Elephas maximus indicus: one gene and its partners. The protein of the gene in region 3 purifies or fractionates together with the protein of the main gene of each other region. This does not show direct contact. Links are inferred from orthologs where the notes say so. Each region holds a gene or a part of one and is shown on either strand. Other genes may lie near its edges.

Region 1 (7,361 bases), about 11 Mb from region 3:
GAGGTGACAGGGTGGGAGCAACTGGGGAAAACAGCAAGAGGCACCTACCAAGAAAACGAGGATCTCAATCTCGCTCCACCTACGTAAACAAACATGAACAGTTCACATATGCCACAGTGGAGGCGGGGAGTGGCACAGAGCCACACATGGTCCTAAGGCTCGCTGTCGGTGACAAGGGAAAAACAAAAACCAGGCGGATGGATTAAGAAACTTCTACAGCAACCCAGCAGGGCAGTTTTATGAGGGTCAAACCTAATCACAAAAATATGGTTGTGAATTTTGTACACGTGTCCTTGATAAATACGTAAATCACTAAATAAGGATAATAAAAAATTCGGAAATGGATAGTTGTGATGCTTGTACAACACGGTGCATATAATTAATGTCGCCAAATTACACGTGTCAGAAGAGTTGGGAGAGCAAATATTTTATTACATATATATTTCATACAATAAATTACCAGAAAAATGAAACTAAATCTAACATATTTACCAGAAGTATCAATCAGCAATAGATTGAAAATCCTAAAAAAAAAAATGTGTCCTTCACCACGAAAGACAGTTTGAGCAGCACTGGTACAGAAACATCTAACCAAAGAACAGATTATCAAAGGCTCTAATCTTCCCTTTTTAGAGAATGACCTGCTTCTCACAATCCCCAAATACCGTTCTGTAGTGAGCAGAGGGCCACAGAACACCCTGTGGGCTGATGGGAAGGCCCTTCCTCATGAGAGCAGGGGAACTGGGGCCAGGCCTCAAACAAAAGGAGCAGACCATGCAGTGCTCAGAAACAGATAATTCAAATCATCTGGGGGGGGGTCTCACCAACCACTCATTAAATAGGAACAAGCACACAACTCCCATCAGCAAAGGGTGCCACAGGCTTGCACCCATTCAATTAGTTTAATTGGCTAGTTACATTTCCAAAGTACTGTTCACTGAGGGTAGCGAAGTTCACTGAGGGTGGCAAATAGTACTAAAGACTTAACCGTCTACTCTTTCCTTGCTGCTAACCTCTGCTCTGCAACTCCTGCCACCCCTCCCCTACAGGGAGAAGAATCCACTGCCCAACCACCTGATGCCACAAGTTTTCTCTAGGACTTCTGGTTGTGTGCCAGCATTTCTCAAGTGCACTTGATGGACCTCAGGAGGTGGGTGCTGTTATCTCAATTTTACAAATGAAAAACCTGAGAGCCAGAAACTTATGCTTTCATGGTTACCCTGCAAAGGCACAGCTGAAATCCCGAGCCTATGGCTTTGAGTACTCTAGTACACCGTGAAGACCCTATTTGAACATCACCTTATCAATAATTAAAAACGATAAATATGATAGCATGGTCTTTCACTGATGGGTGCCAAAATCTGTCACATAAATCTTGATGTTTAAATCCGCATCAATCTCATGAGAACATACTACCTTAGTAAAGATGAAGAGATCAAGCCATTAAAAGGATATACCACTTGCTGAAAGTCACACAGTTGATGTCAAGTTCTACCTGACTCTAGGACGTGAATCCTAATCTGCTACTTGCTAAATTCTCAGAATAATCCTCTTTAGAAGCCAGCAAATAAATTTTCGACTCACAGCTACCCTGTGTGACAGAGAGCTGCCCCATAGGGTTTCCTAGACTGTAATCTCTAGGAAGGCAGATTGCCAGGTCTTTCTCTCACAGAACTGCTGCGAGGATTGGAACCATCAACCTTTCAGATAGCAGCTGAGCACTTAACCGTTACACCACCAGGGTTCCTTTAGAAAAACCCTACAACAGATACATTATCAATCCCATTTAAAACAGAGAAACTAAGAGTCAAAGAATAAATCACCTGCCTAAATCATGCAACAAGAAAACAGCCCAAGATTGGACTCCAAAACCCAACCCGCTCTTCGTCCACTCAGTGCACTCACCTCAAATTCTCGGATGTAGGGCGCAATGCCACAGTAAGGTTGATTATGGTGTTTTTCATGTGGCAGTTTCTCCAGGGGTGGCAGGTATGGGATGGGGTCCCGGGGGGCAAACAGGGCCAGAAGGTTGGGCGGAAGGAACTGGGTCATCTTGCCAAGTCTGAAGGCAAAACCAGAACCAATTAGGGTAGGCTGGCTAGGATGAATCCCCTAAAACCCCCTGACTCTCAAGAAAGAGAGAAACAGGAGCGAGCTCTCAATGTTAAAACAGGCTCTGTAAGGGCAGAGTGACCCTATGTCACACGCAAAAGGGATAAACCTAAAAGAGAAAGCAAAGTCTTGAAGGTTTAGGGGGAAGAAAGGCCTACGAGGAAAACAAAGACTATAAAGCGTTTCTGAGTACAGAAGACTGAGTCGTGAGCAAAGAACTGTGGGGCTGAAAGGGTCCCTGGGGGGTTGGGGAGACAATCAAGGATCCTGAGTCCCAGAGCCGTGCTCCTGGAGGTCCCACGTAAGATGGGGAACGCTTTATGGGGCGAGGGTCGAAGTCACCGATGAAGGGGTCAGAGGATCTTAAATAGCTAACCCCTCAAGACAAAGGCTTGGGGGTAATAGGTCTAAGCCCCCCAACCCAAAAGGGGAAAGGAATTGTGGGTAATGGTCCGAGACGCCGCGAAGAGACAAGAAAAAAGGCAATACACCGCAAGGGCCTGTGGGTACTGGACCGCGGGGGGCTGTGGGACGAGGGCCTGAGTGCTCAAGGCACCCTGGGTAAGGGTCGCAGATAAGAATATTGCTGTGGTGGGTGCGCGGGGAGAGGGCCCGGCCGCGAGGAGAGGGGCCGGGGCCCAACGCAGGGGCTTGTGGGTAGCGATCCCGTTCCCGGTGAGGCCAGTCACACTCACCAGCCGCGCGGCGCCCTCCTCGGCCTGGCGTTGGTCCGGGGGCTCGCGGCGGCCCCTCAGCAACAGAGACTCCTGCTGTAGCTTAGACTTCGGCGGCGTCGGCGTCCGTGTGCTTCTCTGGCGGGCCCAGCGCGCGCACCAGGCCGCTGCTCACAAACCCGCGCGGCCTCAGCTCGCGACGGGAATAGGGGGTGGGACCCGCGCAGATCCCTCCGCCGGCCTCACTGCGCACGCGCCTTACGACGGGCGAACAACGCACACATGGCACGGGTTCCGCCGCGGGCAAGGCGCCTGCGCGGGGTGACTGCCCCGCCTTCGAGCGCCTTAAATTCCTTTTGCCGCTACCGCCTGGTATCCGCACTGCGCACGCGCTTTGCACCTGCCACCACCCCCTCGGGCTCGCCACTCCAACCGCCTCTGTCCGCGAGATTCTGCCCCTGATACTTCGCCCCCTCCCCCTAGCACACTTCCCGGGTTTGCGCGCGTGCGTAGTGAGATGTGCTGCCTGTACCCCTGCGCCGACTGGCAAAGAGTCCCTTCGTTGATAGTGGTTAGGTGGATGGGTAATGTCGAGTACTTAGTGCGTGCTGGAAACAATAGCATGTGACTAAAGCAGTCTTTTCCCTCGTGGATCTTACGTTCTACTGGGGAAGACAATAAAGTGATTTAAATTAATTATAATTTCAGGTAGTGGTTGGCACAATGAAGAAAATGGAGCAGAGTAAGGGGATGGGAAGAGTAAGAACGAGACTGTTTTCAAAAAGATGATAATGGAAGCCCTCTAGGAAGAGATATTTGAACAAAGGCCCCGATTGAACAGTGGTCTGGGCGGGGTTAACAGTCAGTGCGAAGGCCCTGGGGAAACCCTGGGTAGGGCAACCAGTTAACACACTCAGCTGCTAACCTAAAGGTTGGCTGTTCAAATTCACCCAGAGAAGCCTCAGAGAAAAGCCTTGTTGATCTGTTTCTAAAAGATATGCCGTTGAAAACCCCATGGAGCACCGTCGTACTCTGACACACATGCGGTCTCCATGAGTGAGAATCTACTCTAAGGCATCTGGTGTTCTGGTGGAAAAGGCCCTGAGTTGAGACCAGATGTCAGGAACCACATGTTAGGCAGGAAGTCATGTTATTTTAGGGCCTTTTAGACTTGTAATGAGTTAAGTATGGTTTTCTAAGCTTTTTGGGTGGATTCAATTGCCTGTTTAATAATTACAGAAATTATGACATTTTAACTATTAATTTCATATTTCAGGAAACATGTAATAGCACATAACTTTAAAAAATATTTTCACAAATTTGCTTTATTTTTGTGCATGACTACTTTTTTTCCATAACGATTTGTAAGTTAATTGTAGCAGCACCATCCCTAAATATTTCCGCATGCACCTCCTAAGGAAAAGAGCATTCTACATAACCACTAAGTCCTTTACACCCTCAAGAAAGCTTATCCAGCCCCTATTCTAATTTCCCCAAGAATACCTTGTTTTCATCCCAACCAGGATCCAATTAAGAGGCATACATTGTATTTGGTTGTCATGTCTCTTTGATCCCTTTTAATACAGACACATTTTTTTCATGATGTAACTTTTTGTGTGTGTGTGAGCTCAGACCATTTTCCTGTACAATGTTTCACATTCTATACTTCTTTGATTGTTTCCTCATGGCGTTCACTTTGTTCCACTATCCCTGTTTTGCCTGTACAATGGAAATTAAGCATGGAAAAATTCAGGGATGGTTGAGCATGATGAGTATGTTGAATGTCACTGAACTGTACATGTGAAGACTGTTGAAATGGCAAATGCTTTGTTACCTATGTATTTACCACCATCGCAACAAAAAAAATGGAAATTAAGTCTGAAGGCTTGAGTAGATTTAAGCTAAACATTTTGGCAAAAACACATCCCTGGTGGGCTTCACATCTGTAGGAACATAAATTTGGATGGGCTTACTATTCCATGGAGTTTGGTGTACTGGCTGCCAGGTCTTTCCTCCTAAAGCTGGATTTCTCCCCTGGAGACTAGCAAGTAGCAAGACTTCCACACCATGCCAATATTCTCTTCCCCAACCTCACCTAATGATTGTAGCAGCTATTGCTAATCCTTGCCTGAGTCAAGTCTTACATCAGGGGCCAGATCTTATTTTAAATGAGATAGGAGATAGCTAAAGGAGTTTGATCAGGGGAAAGGAGCCCTGGTGGTGCAGTAGTTAAACGCTCAGCTGCTAAGTAAAACGTCAGCGGTTCAAACTCAGCTAGTGGCACTGAGGGAGAGAAGACAAGGCAATCTGCTCCCATAAAGATTACAGCCTAGAAAACCCTATAGTGCAGTTCTACTCTGTGCTATAGGGTCGCTATGAGTCGCAATTCACTCGATGGCACACAACAACAATGATCAGTAAGAACATAGTTTACATTTATAAAAGATCACTTAATTACCTCCACTAGGATGGCTACAATGGAAAAAGCAGAAAACAAGTGTTGTCGAGGATGTGGAGAAATTAGAACCTTTATTCACTGTTGGTGGGGTTGTAACATGATGCAGCTGCTGTGGAAAACAATTTGGCACCATCAAGTAAATTTTGACTCATGGTGGCCCCATGTTGGTCACAGTAGAGCTACACTCCATAGGGTTTTCATGACTGTGATCTTTTGGAAACGGACTGTCAGATCTTTCTTCTGAGGCACCTCTAAACCAAAAACCAAACCAGTTGCTGTCGAGTTGATTCTGCCTCATAGCGACCCTACAGGGCGGAGTAGAACTGCCCCATATAGTTTCCAAGGAGTGCCTGGTGGATTCAAACCACTGAACTTTTTGGTTAGCAGCCGTAGCTCTTAAGCACTATGCTACCAGGGTTTCTGAGGCACCCCTAGGTGGGTTCAAACTGGCAGCCTTTAGGTTAGTAGTCAAATACTTAGCCATCTGAACACAACGAAAAGTTTGGAGGTTCAAGTTTGCTCAGAGGCACCTCAGAAGAAAGGCCTGGTTATGTGATCTATCGGAAATCAGCCATTGAGAACCCTATGGAGCAAAGTTCTACTCTGTCACGTATAGGGTCACCATGAGTCAGAGTCAATGTGACAGCAAGTGGTTTTTGTGGGATGTAAGCAGGGGAAAGAGGGAAGGGAGGACACGGTAGGGGAAGAAGTCAGAGACATGTTAGGGTTAATAGGGTCAACTGACTGTTAGTGCTGGTAGCCTTGAAAATGTTTTTAACTTGGTTGACCGGAAAAAGAAGAAAACGCATGAAGAGAATCCAGGGGGAGACCCTGACGAGAATACAGGGCACAGGACGTGCACGTTCAACGGAATGATAAAAATAATGATTGTGGAAAACCCCAAGAGTATGGCCCTGGACACCCTTTTAGCTCAGTACTGAAGTCACTCCTGAGGTTCAGCCTTCGGCCAAAAATTAGACAGGCCCATAAAACAAAATGAAAGTAAATGGGCACACCAGCCCATGGGCAAGGATGAGAAGGCAGGAGTGAACAGGAAAGCTGGTAACGGGGAACCCAAAGTCAAGAAGGAGAGAGTGTTGACGTGTCGTGGGGTTGGCAACCAATGTGCAGATTGTTTAATGAGGAACTAGTTTGCTCTGTAAACCTTCATCTAAAGTTCAATAAAAAATAAAAGCAAAAAGAACGATTATGGAAGGGATGCAGTTAGGGGTATTCATGAGGACTAGGGTATGACCATGACAGTGGGTGGCAGAATTAGGGGATGATGAGTGACAGATGAGGACTGCAGGGTTTCTTTGGGGATAGTAAAAATGTTCTAAAATTGATTGTGGTGATGGATGCACAACTTAGAGAATACGTTATTGTTGTTCCTTGCCATCAAGTCGGCCCCCAAATCACAGCGACCCCATGCACAATAGTCCTGCACCAGCCCCATAATCAGTTGCAGATCAGGCCATTGTGACCCATAGGGTTTTCACTGGCTGATTTTCAGAAGTAGATCGCCATTCTTAGTTCATCTGAGTCCAGAAGCTCCACTGCAGCTGTTTAGCATCATTTCAACGCACAAACCTCCACTGACAAGCGGAAGGTACATTGGCTGAGAGTTGGACCCGGATCTCCCACATTAAAGGTGAGAATTCTACCTTTGAACCACCATTTGTGTTTTTGTTGCATCCCACTGAGTTGAGTACAACTCATACTGACCCTATATGGTAGAGTAGAACTGACCTAGGGTTTCCCAGGCTGTAATTTTTAGGAGAGCAGATTGCCAGGTCTTTTCTCATGTGGAGCAGCTGGTGGGTTCAAACTGCCAACGTTTCAGTTAGCAGCTCAATACTTAGCCATTGTGCCACCAGGGCTCCTTGAACCAACACTGCCCCCTGTTAATATATTAAAAGCTATTGAATCGCACGCTTAAAACCAGTGAACTGTATGTGACTTATATATCACAATAAAGCAGTTATTTTAAATCAATGTCATTGAATTGTACATGTAGAAATTGTTGAATTGGCTTATGTTCTGCTTGTATATTCTCAACAACAAAATTAATTATTTTAAAAAGTGGGTGGCTGAGGTAGAGTGGAGGGCAAGACTGC
Region 2 (7,785 bases), on a different chromosome or scaffold from region 3:
ATTCCATGAGCAAAATACTGAATGATGCAGGAAGATGAAAGGAATACACAGAGTCACTGTACCAAAAAGATTTAGTCAACACTCAACCATGTCAGGAGAGAGCATATGATCAAGAACCGATGGTACTGAAGGAAAAAGTCCAAGCTGCACTGAAGACATTGGTGAAAGACAAGGCTTCAGGAATTGGCGGAATATCCATTGAGATGTTTCAACAAAGGAATGTACACTGGATATGCTCGCTCATCTATGCCAAGAAATTTGAAAGAAGCTACCTGGCCAACCGACTGGAAGAGATCCATATTGGCCCATACCAAAGAAAGGTGATCCAACACAATGCAGAAATTGTCAAACAATATCATTAATATTCCACGAAAGTAAAATTTTGCTGAAGATTACCAAAAAATGGTTGCGGCAGTACGTCAACAGGAAACCGCCAGAAACTCAAGCCAGAATCAGAAGAGGACATGGAGCAAGGGATATCACTGCTGATGTCAAATGGGTCTTGCTGAAAGCAGAGAATACTAGAAAGATGTTTACCTGTGTTTTATTGACCATGTAAAGGCATTTGACTGTGTGGATCATAACAATTATAGACATTTCGAAGAACAGAAATTTCAAACACTTAATTGTGCTCATGTGGAACCTACACATAGACCAAGAAGCAGTTATTTGAGCAGAACAAGGGGATACTAAGTGGTTTAAAGTCAGGAAAGGTGTACATCAGGGTTGTATCACTTCACCATACTTGCTCAATCTGTATACTGAGCAAATAATCCATGAAGCTGGACTATATAAAGGTGGGAGCATCATGACTGGAAAAAGACTCATTAACAACCTACCATATGCAGATGACACAACGTTGCTTGCTTAAAGTGAAAAAGACTTGAAGCACTTACTGATGAAGACCAAAGTCTATAACCTCCAGTATGGATTGCACCTCAACATACAAAAACAAAAATCCTCAGAACTGGACCAATAAACAATATCATGATAAACACAAAATACTGAAGTTGTCAAGGATTTCATTTTACTTGGATCCACAATCAACGTCCATGGAAGCAGCAATCAAGAAATCAAACAACACATTGCATTGCGCAAATCTGCTGCAAAAGACCTCTTTAAAGTGTTCAAAAGCAAAGATGTCACTTTGAGGACTAAGATGTGCCTAGCCCAAGGCAACCCATGGTATTTTCAATCAACTCATATGCCCGCAAAAGCTGGACAATGAATAAAGAAGACCAAAAAAGAATTGATGCCTTTGAATTACGGTGTTGGCAAACAATATTGAATATACCATGGACCATCAGAAGAACAAACAAATCCATCTTCGAAAAAGTACAGCCAGAATGTTCCTTAGATGCAAGGATGGCAAAACTTCGTCTCAGTGTTTCAAACTTTGGGCATGTTATCTGGAGGGACCAGTCCCTGGAGAAGGACATCATGCTTGGTAAAGTAGAGGATCAGCCAAAAAGAGACAGACCCTCAATGGGATGGACTGAAACAGTGGCTGCAACAATGGGCTCAAACATAGCAACAATTGTGAGGATGACACAAGACCTGGCAGTATTTTGTGCTACTGTACATGAAGTCACTATGCGTTGAAACAGACTCAACAGCACCTAACAGCACCATGGTAGAAGAACAGTCCGTCACTATCCTGCTTTTCTTTTTTGTCTGTCTACAAAAAGTTCAAATCCTCAGAATTATACTGCCTGCCACCACCCTCCCAACCCTATACTTCAACCACAACTATCTATTTAACCTTGACCAGGGCATCATCGGCTGCCTACTTTGGTGCCTTTGCACTTATTATCTTATCTGATGTTACTTTATTTTTCCCCAGTGCCTGGTTATGTTCCCTGTTGTATTCTGAACCCAAGGCAGTAGATACTAAGTGCTCGATAAATGGATAAAAGCTGAATTAAGAATACTATCTCCCTTCTCCAAACTCCTACTCATCCTTCTAAAAACAATGTATCTTTCACCCCTTGGGCTTCACCTTACTTAACCCCCCCTCTACCCCATCAAAGCAGCGTGGGTTAAATTACCATTTTTGTCCCTGTTACATACTCCTATTGCAGGGCATAGACCACCATGCTGCAATTACCCATGGGCATTCTCCCCCTTAGCTGATTAAGAGCTTTTCAAGTGGTGGTGAACTGGGTAATTTATGGTGACAAAGACAATAAATATTTGTTGAGTTTTCATGTATATGTCTCTCTCATTAGTCTGTGAACTCCCTAAAGCAGGAGCTGGGCCTCATTCAGAGCCTGGCACACTATCTTGTAGATGCTGACAATTAACATCTAAAAGTGGGAAGTACAGACTGGAAAATTAGGGATTACTGGGCATAAGGCTTGGAAATCCTGGTGGCGTAGTGGGTAAGTGCTACGGCTGCTAACCAAAAGGTTGGCGGTTCAAACCCACCAGGCGTCCCTTGGAAACTATGGGGCAGTTCTACTCTGTCCTACAGGGTGGCTATGAGTCGGAATCGACTCGACGGCAACGGTTTGGTTTTTTGGTTTGGGCATGAGGCTGGCAGGGAAGAGGGGACGGGGGGGGGGTGGGCTGCTGATCAGTGCTTCTCAAGATTTTATGTGCATATGAATCACCTTGGGTGCACGTTAAAACGTAGGTTCCTATTCACACGGGTTGGAATCAGATATTCCCGGAATTCTTATAAGCTCGCAGGTGATGCTCATGCTGCTGGTACGCGGACCACACTTTTAAGAACCACTGTTGCAACATTCTCTTGGTTACCAAAGAGCAGCGCGGCACGGGAAGCGCGCTGCCTCCTGGGACTTGTAGTCCCTCCAAAACGGCCGCTTCTTCCTGCACGCGTGAGGAACACCCGCGCCGGGGGGGAGGGCCCAGGCCTAGGCTGGGGCTACCGGTCGAGGTACGGGGGTGCGGTACCTGTTTGGGCTCGGTGGCCACGGGCGGCGGCGGAGGCACCGCCTGCACGGGTCCAGCCGGCATGACTGCGACGCTCAGGGCTGCCAGTCCGCCTTGGTTTCGGTCAGCAGTGCTGCGCCAAGACACCTTCCCTCACGGACGGTACGACGAGTTCACAAGATGGCGGCGGAGACAGCCGAGCGAGTAATCTTCAACCAGGCGAGCCTGACGCACTTCCGGGACCGCCCCTCGGCGTGGCGTGGCTTCCCCTCCCTCCCCCGCTGGTACTGGTTTCACGCGACGCCGTTGCCATGGCAGCGGTTCGGGCGCCTTACCTGGGGTTTCCGGGGATCCAGGGAGCCGCAGGCGTGCCAGGGCCAGATACATGAGCCGGCCAGATTCAGGGGCTGAGGCCACGAAGCTGAAGACAGGTGAGATGTCCTACATCTCCCCGCCAGCCGCTCCCCGCACACACCGTGCCTCCCTGGCCCCTCATTTACTCCACGCCTGTTTCCCGCTCACTTAGACCCGCCTCCCAAGGCCCCTCAGACCGCCTCCTCAAAACTTCGCCTCCCTGCTGCCTTAACCCTTCTTATTCGCTTTAGACCGGCATCCTCCAACCCCCTCAACCCCCTTTAAAGTCACAGACCCTAACTCTCTCTGGTCTCTTTCTCGCGGCCCGCCTTTTTTAGGTTCCACTCCCTTCTCTCCATGCCCTCCTCTCTCCATAGGCCCGCCCTCAAACCCCACTGGTGAGTCCCTGCTGACCACGCCCTTCGCTCCCTCGAATCCTGTCCCTTTCGCTTCCCCTCCCGAAGCCCCCTCAACCCTGGCTCCTTTCCCCTCAACCCTGGCTCCTTTCCCCTCCCTCCTGGCTCCAGAATGCGGGGAAGGGGTTCTGAGCAGTGCCTGAACCTGTTTTCTCACCTGTGAAATAAGGGTGATAGATGGTCTCCATCATACACACACTATAGCTGGGTTGTGTCATTGTTGTTATAATTAATCGAGAATACAAACGACAGCTAGGATTTACTGAGCATTCACCATGAGCTGGACCCTGTGCCCAACACTTTATGTACATTCTATCATTTATCCTTTTTAGCAACCGATTTATAGATGAGGACAGTGGAGTTCAGAGTTAGCACAATGGGAATCCAAACCCAGGCCAGACTTTCTCCTCTACAAGTGCAATTTGTTATTCCTGTCTTCACTGGTCCCCTCAGTGTCTCCAAGGATCCAGGCAAGGTTCCTTCAGTGTCTCCAGGGATCCAGGCAATTAGCATTCCCCGAGTTAGAGACTGACAGCTGGTTTTAGCGATTCCAAAGTGTTTGCACGGTGGTGACCTTGATTCTGACCAAGGTAGGCGTAATCTTTACCAATGACGTAGGGTACTAGAACTCAGAGAGGGAAATGGGGCTTCAATATTGAATGGAAGGGGAGGCAAAAGCTTGCATTGAGGTCATGGAAGCTCCATAGACACATCCAAACTCCCTGAGGGACCCAGCTGCTGCTGGGCTGAGGACTGTGGGGACTGTGGCCTCAGGAACATCTAGCTCAATTGGCATAACACAGTTCATAAGGAAAATGTTCTACATTCTACTTTGGTGAGTAGCGTCTGGGGCATTAAAAGCCTGTAAGTGGTCATCTAAGATTGGTCTCACCCCTTCGGGAGCGAGGGAGAATGAAGAAAGCTAAAGATACAAAGGAAAGATAAGTCCAGAGGACTTAATGGACCACATTTACCACTACCTCACCAGACCCCACAACCATCACTGACTGCTCTCACAGGGATCACAATAGAGGGTCCTGAAAAGAGCTGGAGAAAAATGTAGGAAAAAATTCTGACTCAAAAAAGACCAGACTTACTGGCCTGACAGAGACTGGAGAAACCCTGAGAGTATGGCCCCCAGATACCCTTTTAGCTCAGTAATGAAGTCACTCCCAAGGTTCATCCTTCAGCCAAAGATTAGAAAGGCCTATAAAACAAAACAAGACCAAAGGGGCACACCAGCCCAGGGGCAAGGACTGGAAGGCAGGAGGGGACAAAAAAAGCTGGTAATAGGGAACTCAGGGTCCGGACAGGAGAGTGTCATGGGGTTGTTAACCAATGTCATAAAACAATATGTGTACTGTTTAATGAGAAACTAATTGGCTCAGTAAACCTTCATCTAAAGTACAATTAAAAAAAAAAAAAAAGCTTGCCTTGAGCCAGGGGGAGCTGAGGAGACACAAGTTAGCTGCTGCTCCTACCTATTGGCAGTGCTGGCTTAATTGGTGACTATCACTTTTGTGGCCATAGGTACAGTGGATGGTGCAGGGCTGCAGCTCCAGGCTGAGGAATTACAGAGAAAATCCTTATCAAGTCTGCTTTACTTGACATGATTCTCAAACCATGCGTATATTTGCATATCCCCAATTTTCAGAAAAACAATATAAAGTAATTTTAGGTGTTTTTCAATGTTATGTTTTCCTATTGTATATTCTCGTTGCTTTGCCAGAATCTAAGGGGCATTGATACCTAAGATGCCCCCAAATAGCAGCTATAGTGATTTGAAGGTGGACAGATTGGTGTTTCATTGTGTCTTCAAGAAGCAAGCCCATGAGTTCCAGGCACTTTGCCACCTGCATATATCTCTGCCCAAGTTGGGGCTTCTTGCTTCTTTCATTTGTCTCCTTCCCCACCCCCCACCATTATGGGAGGGAAACCCAGAATGTTTCAGTCTGTTTTTTTCCATTGGTGTTTTCCTCACTCCTTAGGGACATAAAATCTCTTGAGCAGCAAAATCTCATGACAGGTCAGTGCCTGTGAGGGATGTGGCCCATTCTAGAACAGTGCATGCATATGCCTGCCAAGCGGCAGACGCACATGGCCTTCCCAACCGTGTAGGTGAAGCCCATGGAGCTCACAGACCCAAGGCTGACCCACAAAAGAGACCCTCAGACATGGATGGTGGGTCCTTGAGGACATGGCTCTATGTACCCTCCTCAGTCCCCAGTTCTTCACGTGGTGCCCGGTGTGTAGTAGGTTCTCAGTCCACAGTTGTTAAATGAAGAGACAGTGTCGGATCCTCCACACCTGCACATTCCAATACTGTGGCCACCAGCCCATGTGACTGTCAAGCATTTAAATTGGTGGCTGGTCCAAGTTGAGATGTTCTATATCAAATACACACTGGCTTTTCAGGCTTAATAAAACAAGAAATGAAGAATATCTCCTTAATAACTTTATATTGATTTCATGTTGAAATGAGAGTATTTTGGATTGTTGTTGTTATTGTTGTTAGGTGCTGTTGAATTGGCCTGAACATAGTGACACTGTGTACAACAGAACAAAACACTGCCTGGTCCAGCGCCATCCTCACCAGCGAAGCTAAGGTTCAGCCCGTTGTTGCAGCCACTGTATCAGCCCATCACATTGAGGGTTTTCCCCTTTTCCACTGACCCTCCACTTTACCAAGCACAACGTCCTTCTCCAGGGACTGATCCCTCCAGATAGCATGTCCAAAGTATGTAAGAAGTCTTGCCATCCTCACTTCTAAGGAGCATTCTGGCTGTACTTCTTCCAAGACGGATTTGTTCGTTCTTCTGGCAGTTCATGGTATATTCAATATTCTTCACAAATACCATTAATCAAAGGTGTCAATTCTTCGGTCTTCCTTATTCATTGTCCAGCTTTCACATGTATATGAGGTGATTGAAAGTACCATGGCTTGCATCAGGCACACCGTAGTCCTCAAATTGACGTCTTTGCTTTTGCACACTTGTCTTTTGCAGCAGATTGGCCCAATGTAATAAGTTGTTTGGTTTCTTGAGTGCTGCTTCCATGGGCATTGATTGTGGATCCAAGTAAAATGGAATTCTTGACAACTTCAGTATTTTCTCTGTTTGTTATGATGTTGTTTATTGGTCCAGTTGTGAGGATTTTAGTTTTCTTTATGTTGAGATGTCATCCGAACTGAAAGCTGTAGTCTTTGATCTTCATCAGTAAGGACTTCAAGTCCTCTTCCCTTTTCAGCAAGCAAGTTGTGTCATTTGCATATTGCAGGTTGTTAATACGTCTTCGACTAGTCCCGATGCCACGGTTTTCTTCATGTAGTCCAGCTTCTCAGATTATTTGCTAGGCATGCAGTTCGAATAAGTATGGTGAAAGGATACAACCCTGATGCACACCTTTCTTGATTTTAAACCATTCAGTATCCCTTTGTTCTGTTTGAATGACTCTCTCTTGTTCAATGTACATGTTCTGCATGAGCACAATTAAGTGTTCTGGAATTCCCATCCTTCACGATGTTATCCATAATTTGTTATGATCCACTCAGTCGAATGCCTTGCATAGTCAATAAAACACAGGTAAATATCTTTCTGGTATTCTCTGCTTTCAGCCAGGATCTATCTAACATCAACAATGCTATCCCTTGTTCCACATTGTCATGGATTGAATTGTGTCCTCCCAAAATATGTGTTAACTCAGTTATGCCATGATTCCCAGTATTGTGTGATTGTCCACCATTTTGTCATCTGATGTGCTTTTTCTGTGTGTTGTAAATCCCGTCTCTATAGATATTAATAAGATGGGATAATCTTAATTATGTTGATGAGGCAGGACCCAATCTATAAGGTTAGATTTTGTCTTAAATAACTCTCTTTTGAGATATAAAAGAGAAAAGCGAGCAGAGAGACATGGGGACCGTATACCACCAAGAAACAAGAGCCAGGAGAATAGCGCATCCTTTGGACCTGGGGTCCCTGCGCTGAGAAGCTTCTGGTCCAAGGGAAAATTAATGACAAGGACCTTCCTCCAGAGCCGACAGAGAATGCTTTGCTCTGGAGCTGGTACCCCGAATTTGGACTTCCAGCCTCCTAGGCTGTGAGAGGATAAATTTCTGTTT
Region 3 (7,261 bases):
GGCACAGAGAGGGTGATCAGCTTGCCCCAGGCCACACAGCATGGAGGTAGCAGAGCTGGGTTGGGAACCTAGTGTCCACCTCATGACCACTCCCCCCGACTGTGCGACAAGGGCTGAGGGATGGCATGAGAGCCTGTCCCGCACCTGGTAGTGCTACCCCTGGCCTCTCCGAGTGAAGACCCAGCTGCAGACCCTCCTGCTCCCAGCTCACCAGAGAACATCTCCCCCTGGGCGGTGTAGCCTCTCTCCAGTGCCACCTGCATCAGTCTCTCCAAGGGGACACCGTTGGGGGGTGCCAGGAGAGTGCCTGCCATCCACAAGGCCACTAGCCCGCACCTGGGGAGAGACAGGCAGGGGCCCAGCCCCTCAATCCCTAAGTCACTTTGTTACTGGGCCCCCTCTGCCTAGAAGCTGGAGTGTGGGGATCAGGTTTGCTGCCTTGGGGGAGTTCTCCTCCCCTCTCCCAGGCCAGATGGGGAGACCTGACTCCCCACCATGGGACAGAGAATGGCCAAGGCCTGAGCCTAGGGCTGGAGAGATGAAGGGGTGGGCAGGGAGAAACGTCACATGGGTTTCCTGGAATACAAGGTGCCAGTATGGGGTTAGAGAGGATGGACCAGGTTCGTCTTTTCACCCGTCAGTTTCTTCATTTGCTCACTCATTCATTCCAAATCTCTATTCGCTATGGACACACCCGAGACCGTGTCCTGGCAGGTCCCCCCTTCCCTCCCCAGGTCGCTGGGGCCTTGTCCCAGCCTCCCTCTGGGTAAGCCCAGCACAGGCAGAGGCTCAGAGTACAGGGTGGACAAGGGGGTGGGGTCCTGGGTCAGAGAACTTACTGAGGGCCTTCTTGGATGAGGGACGGCAGATCAGCACAGAAGAGGATCCACTGCAGGTCACTTCTGAAACTGAATCAGAGCCACACTCGGGTCAGGCAGGATCAGCTCCGAGGGGCCCCTCAAGGTCCAGGTGGGGGCAGAGCATACAAAGATACAAGGACACAGGAAGGAAACACAGGCCAGGCCATTCTAAGGCCCCAGGGTGGCTCCTGGCTGCATCACTGACTTCCTTCTCCCCCATGAGGCCCTTGCCCTGTCTGAGCCTGTTCCCCCCTCTGGCCAGCGGGAATCATCCTTCCCCCTGCGTGCTCTCTGCTCCTTCTCAGTTACTGAGGAGGCAAAGAGCAGATATGCAAAAGCCATGCAACTAGAAGCCAGGGACACAGATTAGAGAAAATTCCTCAAAGACATGCCGCTACAGCTAAACCCTGTTTTAAAAAAAACCCAAACCTGTTGCCACTGAGTCAATGCTGACTCATAACGACCCTATAGAACAGCGCAAAACTGTCTCCATAGGGTTTCCAAGGAACGGTTGGTAGATTTGAACTGGCAACCTTTTGGTTCGCAGTCAAACGTTTAAACTGTTAAATAAGGTGAAAATCCTTTAACGTGGGTGAAATTAAATGGTCACCTAAATCCCGAAAAATTTAGGCTGATGGCCTAAAATAATAAGTCCTTACGTGTCTGACCAGCCCCCCCTTTCCTCCCCCTGGGGAGGCCTGGGGAAAAGTTCTGGTGATCCCAACCTCCTCCTTTCCCTCCAGGGCTCAGGAGAGGGCAGAGCCCCAGAGTCTTCATTTCCATCTCAGAGTCAGTAAGAGAGAGAGGCTGAAGGGGAACCCAGGGCTCCTGACCAAAAAAGAGATGATGTTACAACACAGTGGTTTAAAGTGCGAAGCCAACCTAAAAACCAAAAATCCGTTGCTGTCGAGTCAATTCCGGCTCATAGCAACCCTACAGGACAGAACTACCCCATGTGGTTTCCAAGGAGTGCTTGGTGGATTCGAACTGCCGACCCTTTGGTTAGCAGCCTTAGCTCTTAACTGCTATACTACCAGGGTTTCCAAAGCCACCCTGCCCAGGTTCAATTTGGGCCCTTTCTCTTAATTCTACAGCTCGGTGATTTCATCTCTGTGAGCCTGTTTTCTCATCTGGAAAACAACACAATAATAGCTTCTACCTCATTAGATTGCTAAAAGAATTAGATAGTTCAATACTTAAAAACCATTAGAGAAAGGTGCCTGACACAATAACGAGCTCATTTTATTTGTGTTTAATTAACCTCATCATGGTTGGGGCATTTAAGACAAATTATAAACTAAGAAGAGCTTGAAAGTTCTTCTGAGTCTGGACAAGTCAGTTCCCCTGATTCCTGTCAGCCAGGCAATCATTCAACTGGGTCCTCTTCACCTCCTTCCCCTGCCCACCACCTCAACCCTGGTCTGGTCCCCTCCTCTCCAGTCTGGTCCTCCAGCTTCCTCCCTGGGCTCTGACTCTAGTCTTACCACCTACCATCTACGTGTCACAGGTAGCCTCATCCAGCGTAAGTAGTTCCTCCTATGGCTCCCCAGAGCCCTCAGGGCAAAGTCCAGCCCCCTTACCATGGCCCACCCTGCTACCTCATGTGTGATCTGGCTCCTGTCCCCCTTTGCCACCTCCCTGTCTCAGTGAGGAAATGCTTGCAATTTCTTTAAAACAGCATGCTCCCCTTTAACTCTGGGCCTCTGCATGAGCCGTTTGCTCTTCATCATGCACCCCTTGCAAGACTTGCTCAATAGCACTCAAGGTTCCCCTTCTCCAGGAAGCCCCCTCTGTCCCCAGGCTGGGTCAGGTGCCCCATTTGGGCTCCCCCATCACAGCCCTGACCACTCTGGGCTGTCACTGTTTGGTGTGGGTAGTCTGCCTCCTCCACTGGACTAGGCACTTGTGATGGCAGGACCTTTCTTCATTGATGGAGCCATACCACCACCGGAGGGCTCAGTAGGGGACTGGTCCGACCAGGCTGTTTGACCTTGAGGACAAACAGGAAACCCCAAGAAGAGGATAAAATGATCTGGGACAGGTAGTTGGTAAGATGACTGGGTGGGTGAAGAGGAGACCCTACCGGTCCTTGTGCAGCTTCAAAAGCCTCTTCACATCCTCTCTGCCGGTGGGGACTGGGCCGGCCTTCTCCAAGGCCTCCTTCAGCAGCTGGCTCTTTTCCATGCCGAAGACGTGAGGGGGAGCAAGCCCCAAAGCAGGAGGTGGAGGCGGCAGTGGGGGTGGTGGGGGAAAAGGGGTCTGGAGACTCGAGGAAATGGGTAGAAAAGTTACATCCGGGGAATTTGGAGGCACGAGAGGTGGAATGGAGGCCTGGGGTGTAGGGGCGCTGGGAGGAAGGACTGGGGGCTCTAGAGATGAGCATGGAGAAGTCATTTCGGAGTACTTGAGAGCAGCTCGGTGGAAATGCGAAGGGGAAGGATCCTTCAAAATGCTGTTTAAGGTTGGCTGCAGAGATGGGGATTACGAAGGTTTTACAGCTGAGTCCTAGAACATGGGAGCAGAACAATGGGAAACGAACAAGGTGGACGCAGGGCTTGTGCAGGCTCAAGTCGAGGATCTGAGAGTTAACAGGGTGGGGTCTTTTAATCTCACATCCGCTAGTATGGGGCTGGGGCGGGTTGGTTTGCGGGACGAGAGGGGAGGAGATTAGGAGTTAACTTGTCCAGGTCAAGACTTGGAAACTCATGAGTTAAATTTCGGGATAACGGGCCTCAATCTTGGGGTGTAGCGCCTAACACGTGGGGTTTAGGAGTCTCGAGCTAAGGACTGGGGTAATTAGACTCTGTTCCCCACCCCCACCCCCAAGCCGAAGTTCGAACCTCTGAGCTGATCTTTGAGCCAGAGGTCAAAAAGGACACTGGGTAGAGAAAACTGCCTACTTGTAGACAGGGTCCTGGAATAACTGAGAAACAAAGTCTGCGAGTTGGGAAAGGCTCTGAGCCTTTCCGGGAGGCCGGAAAGAGCGACGATGCCCGTGGAAAATGAACGGAGTTGGAAAACACCCGCCTCCTCTCCTCGCAAAATGGCGGCTGCCGCACACAGGTTTTCTCACGTCACGTGGTAGAACTCGCAACTTATGCCCGCCCCTTCGGCAATCACGTGGTAGAAAATGGCAGTGCGGGCTGAGAGGTGGGGCTATCAAAGGATCCTCGCCGGAAGAAGCTGCAGAGCGAGCCGCGTCTCGATTGGCAAGGAGCGCGTGAGGGGGCGTAGCCTTCACTGATTGGTCCGTACGCCCCGAGGCATCTGGCGGCCTAGGAAGCACACAGGCTGGGGCGGGGTTTTCTCCCTAGGCGGGAACCCAAGTGTCGTTTTGATTGGCAAGCTATTGGTGAGGGAGGTGAAATTTACTCTGATTGGTCAAACTGCCAAGTTTCCACGCGGAGATTGGCTTGCGGGAAGGCAAAGGCTGGGTCAAGGGAGGAAGCTTTGTGGTCCAACCTCAGGAACTCAGGAGACGCTACTTGTGGGAGCTGCCGTCCGGTCGGTGAGTAATCTCGGTCACAGGCGGTCATCGGCGACGGGCGGGTGGCGCAGATGGAGCTCGGACTCTCCCGCATCTTGTCTGGAGAAACTTTCCCGCTGCATGAGCCCAGGATGCCCCAAATTTGTCTCCCCTTCCTTAACTGGTTTTACATCCGGGTGTTTTCTCCTGGGCCGCCCTTTGGGCGTGTGAGTCAATAGGAATCGCCATGTAGGACGCCCCGCCTACTGGGTCGCGTAGAGCATTCTGGGACTCGTAGTAAACCTCTCGAGGTTTCCCTTAGCACGCGGGGATTAGAAGCGGTTTCTGCCCCCGCCGCGTTGCCCAAACTGACTTTTTCCGGGAAGGAAGATCCGTGAGCAGTCCGTTAAACTAGAGTTGGGGCAAAGGATTTAGAAAAACCCAGGCGTGAAGTTCCCTTTTTCCTTTTCTTAGCCCTACCTCGGCATCTAGCTCCATGGCAGTTCCCGAGACCCGCCCCAACCACACAATTTATATCAACAATCTCAACGAGAAGATCAAGAAGGATGGTGAGTTCTCCAGTGGCCCAAGCGCTGGGCTGTACCGCACGAGTTGGCCCTTCCCATCGCTTCTCTATCTTTGTCTACTCCAGCCTGCCTGTTAGAGCTAACCCTTCGGTCCTCGCACATGCTGCGTCCTCTGACTTTTAACACTCCCTTAGTTGATCCACGCCCTACCCGCTAACTTGGCCACTATTGCTTGTCTTTCACGTCTCAGTTCACAGGACCATTCCTCCCCCAGGTGTCTCCCTCTGACTTATAGGCCCTGGGCATCAAGTCCTGATCACTCTGGGCTGTCATGTCTCCCCACCAACCTGTGAGTTCTGTGAGGGCAGGGACTGGAGCTCTCTAGGTCACTGTCATGTTTTCAGTGACCAGTCCACAATGAAAATACGCAACAGTAACGGAACATTCTGTACCACGTGGTGAGCTATGCACTTTTACATAAATTTCCATTTAACAATCCTGCTGGAAGAAGCTTTTGTTAATCCTGTGTCTCAGATAGAAAATTGACACTCAAGTGTGACTTGACTTGCCCAAGGTCACACAGCAGGGAAAGTAGCTGAGGCCACCAGTTTGGAGTTCTGTTTAAGAACATACTTGACATTGTATAGACTCTTCTATTTTCTCAAGCAAGTTGTCCCCTTTACTGAATCCCACTTTTTTCTTTATCTGAAAACTGGACTAACCCAAAAACCCATTGCCATCAAGCCACTTCAGACTCATAGTGATCCTATAGGACAGAGTAGAACTACCCGATGGAGTTTCCAAGGAGCCGCTGGTGGATTTGAACTGCCAACCTTTTTGGTGAGCAGCGGAGCTGTTAACACTGTGCCACCAGGGCTCTGAAAACTGGGCAAGATCATAATACCATGTTTGCATGGATGTTGTGAGGATTAAATTAGCTAAATCTCCATGCAGTGCTTTTTATGGTACTTGGTAGGAAGAATCAGGTAGGTGTTGGTTGTTATCACAAAGGAGCTGCTGGAATTAAATTTGAGGTTACTGATAAAGTTGCTGTTGGAAAAAAACAAAACAAGGAATGTAGATTCTGCACATGCTTTTAAACTATCACGCCTGGCCATGCTAGGTGGTGAGGTGCTGAGGGCACCATGGGGAGCAAGTCAGCCCTGGCCCTGCCCTGTTGGAGCCACAGTCCAGTGGAGGAGACAGACCCGTCATCTGATTGTGACAAGTCAGAGGATCAGGGCTATGGTGGGGAGAGGCCCAGGTGGAAGAATACAGCCAGGATGAGTAAGGGGAGGGGGTTGGGTATGTAGAAGGACAGAGATTCATTTAGTTTCAAAAAAAAAAAAAAACCCAAATCTGGACATCAAGTCAATTCCGACTCATAGTGACCCTATAGGACAGAGCAGAACTGCCCTGTATGGCTTTCGGGGAGCACCTGGTGGATTCAAACTGCTGACCTTTTGGTTAGCAGCTGTTGTTTTTGACCACTAGCCACCAGGGTTTGGTAGAAGCCCTCCAAAGCTTGAGGAAGCAGCATTTGGTGAGGGAGAAAGGTATTCATGACTTTGACCAGCTATATAACTACCTAGGGACAAAAGAGCCTGGGATGTTCTGGGAACTATAAGTAGTTTTGTGTGGCTGAAGCTTCCCATGAGCAAGGCACTCCTGGCTCTCGGGGCCTTCTGGGCTGAATGAATTGGTGAGCTTATCCTGAAGGCATTGTAGAGCTATGCAAGGGACACAGTCAGTTGTCGGTTGTGAAAAATCCTCACAGCTGGGAAGGGTGAACTGGAGTGGGCAGGAGGGGAGGCTAGAGGCTAGGCAGTGGTCCTGAGTCCAGTGGAATGCCTGGGCCTCAAACTAGGCGCATGAGGACAAAAGGTAAGAGATGAAAACTAGAAATGTCACAAAGAATTTCTGGCTAATTGCTTCAAAACACCCTTGCTCCCATCCCCCCACCCCAAACAGGTACACACACATTTCCTTCACCCATCCTCTAGTATCTGTTGTTAGGTGCCGTCGAGTCGGTTCCGACTCATAGCGACCCTATGCACAACAGAACGAAACACTGCCCGGTCCTGTGCCATCCGTACAGTTGTTGTTATGCTTGAGCTCATTGTCGCAGCCACTGTGTCAATCCACCTCGTTGAGGGTCTTCCTCTTTTCCGCCAACCCCATACTCTATCAAGCATGATGTCCTTCTCCAGGGACTGATCCCTCCTGACAACATGTCCAAACTATGTAAGACGCGGTCTCGCCGTCCTTGCGTCTAAGGAGTATTCTGGCCACACTTTTTCCAAGACAGATTTGTTCATTCTTTTGGCAGTCCACGATATATTCAATATTCTTTGCTAACACCACAATTTGAAGGCGTCAACTCTTCTTCCGTCTTCCTTTGCATTGTC
Region 4 (7,001 bases), on a different chromosome or scaffold from region 3:
CAGCACACCAGCTGCCGCACACACAGCTCATCGGGTCCTGACAACAGGCCATGGGCTCAGGCTTATTCTTGTGACAGCCCTGAGATGCTCAGATCTCTCTTTGAGGGAGAACAGGCTGTGAGGAGTGCACGGAGCTGATGGCCTCTGGGTGTCACACCTTTGAGACCCACCACTGCATAAACCCCAAGGCTACTCTCCCCAGACTGCTCCTACGGCAGGGGTACGAGAGCCAGGCCATTTCTGTCCCATGCCAGACTCCTCAAATGAGTCATCTATGCTTGGCTATGAATCATCCTCAGAGCTACAATGTAGCCCCAGGCTCTTCCTACTCGATCCTTTCTTCCCTCTATTCTTTCACCAGTGTTAGGCCTGCACGACAGACTGTGGCTCTCTTGCCCACTCCTGCTTCCTCTCTTTTCTCCTGTCACTTCCTCCAATAAATCTCTTGCATATCTAATTGTACCTTGGTGTCTGTGCCTCAGATGGCCCGAAATAACATCACCCCTGTTTTACAGATGAAGAAACTGAGGTAATTAATATACCTGAGGTTATACAATTAGGATTCAAACCCATATTTCTTTGATTTCAAAGTCCATGCTCTTAACCGGCTGTTTTATACTTCGTAAAATGACTCTAATATCACGATTATGAGAAAAAGGGCAAATTGTGTCATGGGAATTGAACCAGATCAGGAGGCTATGCCATCATATACTAATGGAGTGACATTTAGTAGACGAATCCTATTTTCATAGATGACAAAACTATTACCAAACCTGCCTACCTCACAATAACTGATGCAATAATCAAATGGGACCCCTTCTCCAAGAAGATGGCAAGTAAATACAGCATGTGAGTAGGAGATGCTACTAACTGTAACATGTCATGCCTTAATAATGGCCTTGAACCTGAAAGGAATAGTGTCATTTATCTCAAAAAGCCCCCAAAATATGGGAGAAAATGATTATGGAATGGAGAAAACAAAGGACAAGTAAATATTCCAAATTTCCAAACACCATTTCTGCCTCGAGACAGTAAGTCTCTTGCTCATGTCCACATCCTGAGTACCTGTAAGAGGGCCTGGTACTCATAAGGCACTCAGTAATAACTGTTGAAAGAGACCAACTTCAAGAAGGCGCTCTAGTCACCACAGTTTTGTCCTCCAACACAGGCTCACATTATCCCCTTCAGTCTCATATGCAAAGCAAGGTACCTGGCAGTTCATGTTGTCCTCTGCCTCGATGAGCTTCCCCCGATATACCTCACCGGTGTTCGTCTCACATGTCACAATGTGGCCCTCAGCCTCATGCAGAACCTTAATCGGCACACCAATAGACATCTTGGCAGGAAGAAAACTCTGCAGTGAGAGAGACAACAGTTAGTTCATCTTTCAGAACCAGAACAGGCATATAGCATGCACATGCCTCCTTCAGGGCCTAAAAACCAAAAACACCAAACCCAGTGCCATCGAGTCGATTCCGACTCATAGCGACCCTACAGAACAGAGTAGAACTGCCCCATAGGGTTTCCAAGGAGCGTCTGGCAGGTTCAAACTGCCAACCCTTTGGTTAGCAGCCGTAGCACTTAACCACTACACCACCAGGGTCTGGCACTCCATAAAACTTAGCTGTATTTCCTGAGCTATTGAAAAAGGTGTTTAGCTCCTTTGGAAAAAACTATCTGGCAAACAGTGCAAGATGAGGGGTAGGGTGAAAAGTGGGGCTGGGCAGAAAAGGCTAAGGGGAATGAAGAGAGTGCCTCCCGTCTCCCTCCTCACTACCAGATCGCTTTATCTTCTCCAAATGACCATTAGCCAATATTACAGGAGGGAGGGGAGTGAATGCATGTACTGTACAAACGTACCTGCCAACTCACTGCTGTGGGCGACTGCACTTTGAGAACCTACGATACAGACCCAAGCTGCCCAATACAGTGGCCACAGTCCACATGTAGCTACTTAGAACTTTAAAAAGATGAAATACGACTAAAATTTCAGTTCCTCAGTCACATTAGCAATACTTCAAGTGCTCAAAACGCCACAGGTGCCTAGTGGTTACCACAGTGGACAACGCAGACCAAAAGATCCACCAACAAATTTAGGAGGAAGTTATGCTTTTAAGTCAATCTATTTAGTGTCCCATGGCACCCCATTTACATCACCACTGAAGCTAAAAAGAAAATATCGAAGAGTTCACAAAGTGACATGCTATAAGCAAAAAGGTTTATCTTATAGAAAAAAGCCAACCAGGGCAAGCACCTGACTGGACCTATTAAAAGAAAAAAGCATCAAACATTTTTAATCTGCAATGAACAAAGGCTGAAGACTAGAACAGAAAGGGATTCCAGGAGACTCAACGCTACCCCGGAAAGGGACCATGAAGTTGGAAAAGTTGGTTTCCTTTGGTGAGAATCCCTGAGTTCTAGCTTTAGGGGTTTGGATTTTATGCTGAAGACAGAGAGAACCACTGCAGAATCATGCGAAGAAATGACCCAATGAACACGTAGCAGCATTTAAAACTTCTGCAACAGCGTGGAAAGCAGGAGATGATCCGAAGTGAAAAAACCTTGAAAAGGAAGCTCCAAACAAGATTTGGGGTAAAGGAGGTAATCACTCAGAAACGATTCCAGTATTATTTTCTGGATACTGAAAAAAAAAAACAATGACATGGAGAGGTGTACAAAAAGGATAAATATGTAGTTTTGGAAGGAGCCAATAAACCCACTTCCAGGCGCGAGTGAGGTGACGCTACTGCCCCGGGCTTCTCCCTCTCCTCCCTCCCAGGGGCCCGCAGAACTTCAAGGCAGCGCGTCCTTCCCCAGCCCCGGCCCCTCACGGGAGCCTCGGCCTCCCGTCACCCGTCCCCGGCCTCTCCTCACCGGCTGCGGCCTCCTCTTCCACTTCTTCCGTGGACAAGCGACTTCAGCAGCACCGAAAGCGTGAGCGAGCGAATGGCGGTCCCGCGCTCCCAGAAGACCCCGCGTTCCCAGAATGCCGCGCGCGAGGCCAGCCCCCTTCCTTTCTCCGGTGGTGGGCGCTGTCTCGCCTCGGCTGCCTCCTCACCCAACCGGATGGGAAACGCGGGCTGTGGCACTATAGTTCCGGCCCCGAAAAAGCGTGCTGATGACAGGGCCTGGGTGCCGCCGGAAACACCGATACTCGGGCCGGCAAGGGGAAAGGGGAGCTCGCGCTTCCAGGCACCCCACACCAAGGCCGAGTTGGACGGCAAGGCGGAGATGCGGGGCCTGGGCTCTCGGATCGGGGGCGGCAGGCTGTGGGACTAAGCGCCAGGACCTGCCCTCGCAAGTTAGCCGTTGGAACCCGGCACCGCCCGGTAAGGAGCGCCCCGAGCGAGGCGAGGTATCCATTATATGGACAGGGAAACTGAGGTATAGAGTAGTCGGAGTAGGGTTGGGTCTCCTGGAGACCCGGCGGAACAAGGGGCAGGCCAGGGATTATACCTGAGGGAGGCCCACAGGGGCGGAGCCTGACTTAAGGGAGAGCGCCAGCCTTCGGGGCGGGGCTCCAAGAAAGGGGTGGGGCTTCCGGGGATCCGCGGGGACGGGCCTGTGCGTCGGCGCAAGGGCTAGGGAAAGGGGCGGGGTCAAGAGAAGGCGAGACAGCGAATGGCCGGGGCAGGCTTCGATCAGGCGGCTGGGGAACGGAAGGGACTGGGCCTCCAAGCCGGGGCCCAGGTGGGGGCGGGGCGTCCGGGGCCGCTGCCAGGCAGGGCTGGGGCGGGGCTCGGGGCCGCGGACCGTCGCCTTCTGTCCCCTCCGCGGACCAGACGCGCCGCCGCCGCGCTCCCGCCCCAGCCCGAGCGGTAGCCTGCGCCAGGTCGGGGCCATGGGCGCCCCGCGCCGCCCGGGTCATGAGGACGGAGGCGGAGGCAGCGGGACCGCCGCTCGAACCCGGTCAGTGCCTCCCCAGGGCCTAACCCTGGCCCCGGGGGACGAGGGTCCGGCCGCGCGACCTTGGGCGGACTGCCGCCTGGGCAGCGCTCTGGAGTTCGGACGGGACGGGGCCAGCTGGACACCCCGCCCCAGCCCCACTTGCCAGTCGGGGTTTCATTGTCCTCCCGGAGCTGAGGCCCCTGTCGCCCGGCCGTGGGGCGGGGTGGGGCCGGTCCCGGCTGTGAGGCGGGGCGCCACCTTGCCTAGAAGCGGGAAGTCCAGCCGGAGACGCGTGGAAGATGTGTCCCCTCGGGGAACTGTGGAGGACGCTGAGGCTCAGAGAAGGGCAGGGGACTGGGCGGGAGCACAGAGCGAGTGCGCCCCTTCTCTTCCCCTTCTCAGACTGTGGTCAGCTCTTTTCTTGCTACATGTCTTCACCCTTGGTTCCTTCTGCCCTAAGGGGGCCTTTTGGGGAAGCAGAGGCCACTACTGGTGGGGCAGTGCCGCGGCCTGAGTTTGCTTGTCTGAGAAGGGGATAGTGGGGGAGTGCGGTGGTTCCTGCTCTGCTGAGAAGAGGTGCCAACTCAGGGAGAGGCCAAAGCATATGGGACTGGCCCTGAGCTGTCATGGATGGTGTCCTCACACGAGGGAGGGGTCGCCTTTGTTATTGCAGGGTGGAGCAGGGGTCTGATGCTGCCGCAGAGTGTAGGCCCTGCTCTCCAGTTAGCTCAGCTACGCTCTTGGGCAGGACATTGCCTTTCCTGAGCCTGAGCGAGTCCCGGCTCATATTTATAGGGGGTTTCCTATGAGGTGGGAACTGTGCTGAGTGGTGTATGTGCAGTACCTCGTTAATCCTCATGATGACCTCATGAAGGAGGCTACTGCTGCTGTTATTCCCAGTTTTACAGATGAGCAGACTGAGGCTGAGAGGTGGTGAGCACCCAGGGCCACTGAGCGCCCTCCCTTCTCTGATGACAGCTGCCAGCTGATGCCAGGGCCCTCCAAGCAGGCCCAGCTCTTGGGGTGTTCCTTGGTGCCATGTATTAACATCTGGTAGTGGCTGTGGGCTTGAAGGGCTGAAGCTGTTATCAGGACAAAAACCAAGGTCTTGCCTGCCCTTATCATCCTTCCACCCACCACACGCAGAAAATCACCTCCAGCTTTCTATAGAGTGGCCTGCCTGGGCCAAGGCTGGGGACAGCCACCTGGGGTTTTGGCCCTTTGGGGCCTCAGGATCAAGGGTTCTGGAGCTCAGGGCATGAGGAGGAGGGGTAGCTAAGACTCCCAGGGCCCTAGAGAATGCTGCCAAGCATGGCCACAGGGGAGGTCTGGCCACAGATGGCCTAGCTGGTGTGGCCAGAGCTGGTGCCAACCAAAGTAGGGAGGCAGCCTTAAGCAGAGGGCAGTGGTCTGGAAGCCTGGGGGCAGGAAATCATTGCAGTGACAAGCAGCCCCAGGCATCTCAGGAAAATGCCTTCTCTTCCCCAAGTATGGAGAACCCTGGTGGTGTAGTGGTTAAGTGCTACGGCTCCTAACCAACAGGTCAGCAGTTCGAATCTGCCAGGTGCTCCTTGGAAACTGTATGGGGCAGTTCTACTCTGTTCTATAGGGTCGCTATGAGTCAGAATTGACTCGATGACAGTGGGTTTGGTTTGGTTTTGGTTTTCCCCAAGTATGTCTGAACACCTGTTCGGGGCAGAGGTTCCCTGCCTGCCACTGAGGTGTTCTCAGGCTGTTGGCTGGCGAAGGTGGGTGTGACCTCAGGTACTCTACACTGAGGCCTGGAGGGGATCGGAATCAGAGTATCCAGATGTTCAAAGATGGGAGGAACGGTGCAGACTAAGGCACCCTTGAGTGCAAAGGCTAGGCATAAACAGCCTGTGCAGAGAAAAACAGGTGGTGTGTGGCCACAGCGAGGGGTGCTTGAGAAGGGAGGCACCTTCCTTCCTCCATGATTGTACAGCACCCTATATAGAGCTTGCACCCTCCCCTCAGCCCATGTGGGGCATACTTATTTTAGAATATGAGTCTTCAGAGGCAGGGCTTAGTCTTAATCACCCGTGTGTCCCCAGAGCCTGACACACAGCGAGTGCTTAATAAGTTCATTTCTTCCAACAGATATTGAGTTACTCCTAAGCATCAGGTACTGTTACTGTCGTTAATGGCAACCCCATGTGTCACAGAGTAGAACCACTCCATAGAATTTTCGTGGCTGTAATCTACACCAGGGAACCCTGGTGGTGTAGTGGTTAAGTGCTACGGCTGCTGACTAAAATGTTGGCAGTTCGAATCCACCAGGTGCTCCTTGGAAACTCTATGGGGCAGTTCTTACTCTGTCCTACAGAGTTGCTATGAGTCGGAATCAACTCAACGGCAGTGGGCTTGGTTTTGGATTTTTAATCTTCACCGAAGCAGATTGCCAGGTCTTTCTTCTACAGTACTGCTGGGTGGGTTCAAACCACCAACTTTTCTGCTAGCAGGATAGCACAAACCATTTCCGCCACCCAGGGATCTTAAGCATCGGATGCCAGGTACTGGGAATAACAGTGAACAAGATGAGGTGAGGTATTTTCCCTCAGCAACCATACAGTCTAGTGGGGAGACAGATAATAGTTTTTTTTTTTTTTTTAGTTTCGTTTGATAAGTACCATGTGAAACAAAGAGGATGCTATGAAGGAGGGTCCCCCCTTTGCCCTCAAAAGGTATAGTCAGGAAAAGCTGCTCAGAGGAGACTTTGAACTGGGACCTGATGACAAGCAGTAGCAGCCTTGAGAACAGCCGGGGGAAGAGAGTTCTAGGCTAGGGCACCCTGCATGTGCAAAGACCCTGGGCAGGATGAAGCTTGATGGGTTCACAGAGTAACTGCAGCAGGGTGAATGAGGCTGGTGGGGCCTGGGTGGGCAGGGCCACAGGAAGAGGAGAGGACTCTAAGAGCATTGGGAAACTGCATGGGATTCCCCAGGCAGCTGTGTGTGGAGACAGAGTTGGGGCTGGGGGAGGAATTTGGGGTGAAGGACAGGCAGGAATCAGGCAGGACTAAATCCGTGGAAGGAGAAGGAGGCAAGCATGTGAGAACCTCAGGCAGAGGCCTGGGCTCCTTTCAAAGGCACCTG

The links.
Region 1: the proteins of SNRPA (region 3) and SNRNP70 purify together in Homo sapiens (affinity purification with mass spectrometry; 4 studies listed by BioGRID and IntAct, counting the BioPlex papers as one, with this or other methods). This does not show direct contact. The link is inferred for Elephas maximus indicus from reciprocal best matches to the Homo sapiens genes SNRPA and SNRNP70.
Region 2: the proteins of SNRPA (region 3) and SF3A1 fractionate together in Homo sapiens (co-fractionation; 3 studies listed by BioGRID and IntAct, with this or other methods). This does not show direct contact. The link is inferred for Elephas maximus indicus from reciprocal best matches to the Homo sapiens genes SNRPA and SF3A1.
Region 4: the proteins of SNRPA (region 3) and SNRPD3 purify together in Homo sapiens (affinity purification with mass spectrometry; 3 studies listed by BioGRID and IntAct, with this or other methods). This does not show direct contact. The link is inferred for Elephas maximus indicus from reciprocal best matches to the Homo sapiens genes SNRPA and SNRPD3.

The regions. Positions count from the first base shown.
Region 1 is NC_064829.1:99,440,933-99,448,293, reverse strand, and holds the start of SNRNP70 (U1 small nuclear ribonucleoprotein 70 kDa), read right to left. Parts: upstream 3,021-7,361; 5' UTR 2,808-3,020; intron 2,063-2,807; 5' UTR 2,053-2,062; coding exon 1,906-2,052; intron 1-1,905. UniProt on the Homo sapiens protein: Component of the spliceosomal U1 snRNP, which is essential for recognition of the pre-mRNA 5' splice-site and the subsequent assembly of the spliceosome. SNRNP70 binds to the loop I region of U1-snRNA.
Region 2 is NC_064840.1:26,017,024-26,024,808, reverse strand, and holds the start of SF3A1 (splicing factor 3A subunit 1), read right to left. Parts: upstream 3,001-7,785; 5' UTR 2,980-3,000; coding exon 2,917-2,979; intron 1-2,916. Other genes in the region: CCDC157 (coiled-coil domain-containing protein 157), read left to right, coding at 3,281-3,326. UniProt on the Homo sapiens protein: Component of the 17S U2 SnRNP complex of the spliceosome, a large ribonucleoprotein complex that removes introns from transcribed pre-mRNAs.
Region 3 is NC_064829.1:110,909,093-110,916,353, reverse strand, and holds the start of SNRPA (U1 small nuclear ribonucleoprotein A), read left to right. Parts: upstream 1-4,259; 5' UTR 4,260-4,368; intron 4,369-4,800; 5' UTR 4,801-4,822; coding exon 4,823-4,895; intron 4,896-7,261. Other genes in the region: ACTMAP (UPF0692 protein C19orf54 homolog), read right to left, coding at 212-336, 840-908, 2,944-3,254. UniProt on the Homo sapiens protein: Component of the spliceosomal U1 snRNP, which is essential for recognition of the pre-mRNA 5' splice-site and the subsequent assembly of the spliceosome. U1 snRNP is the first snRNP to interact with pre-mRNA.
Region 4 is NC_064840.1:23,012,587-23,019,587, forward strand, and holds the start of SNRPD3 (small nuclear ribonucleoprotein Sm D3), read right to left. Parts: upstream 3,002-7,001; 5' UTR 2,875-3,001; intron 1,355-2,874; 5' UTR 1,337-1,354; coding exon 1,211-1,336; intron 1-1,210. Other genes in the region: protein GUCD1, read left to right, coding at 3,119-3,329. UniProt on the Homo sapiens protein: Plays a role in pre-mRNA splicing as a core component of the spliceosomal U1, U2, U4 and U5 small nuclear ribonucleoproteins (snRNPs), the building blocks of the spliceosome.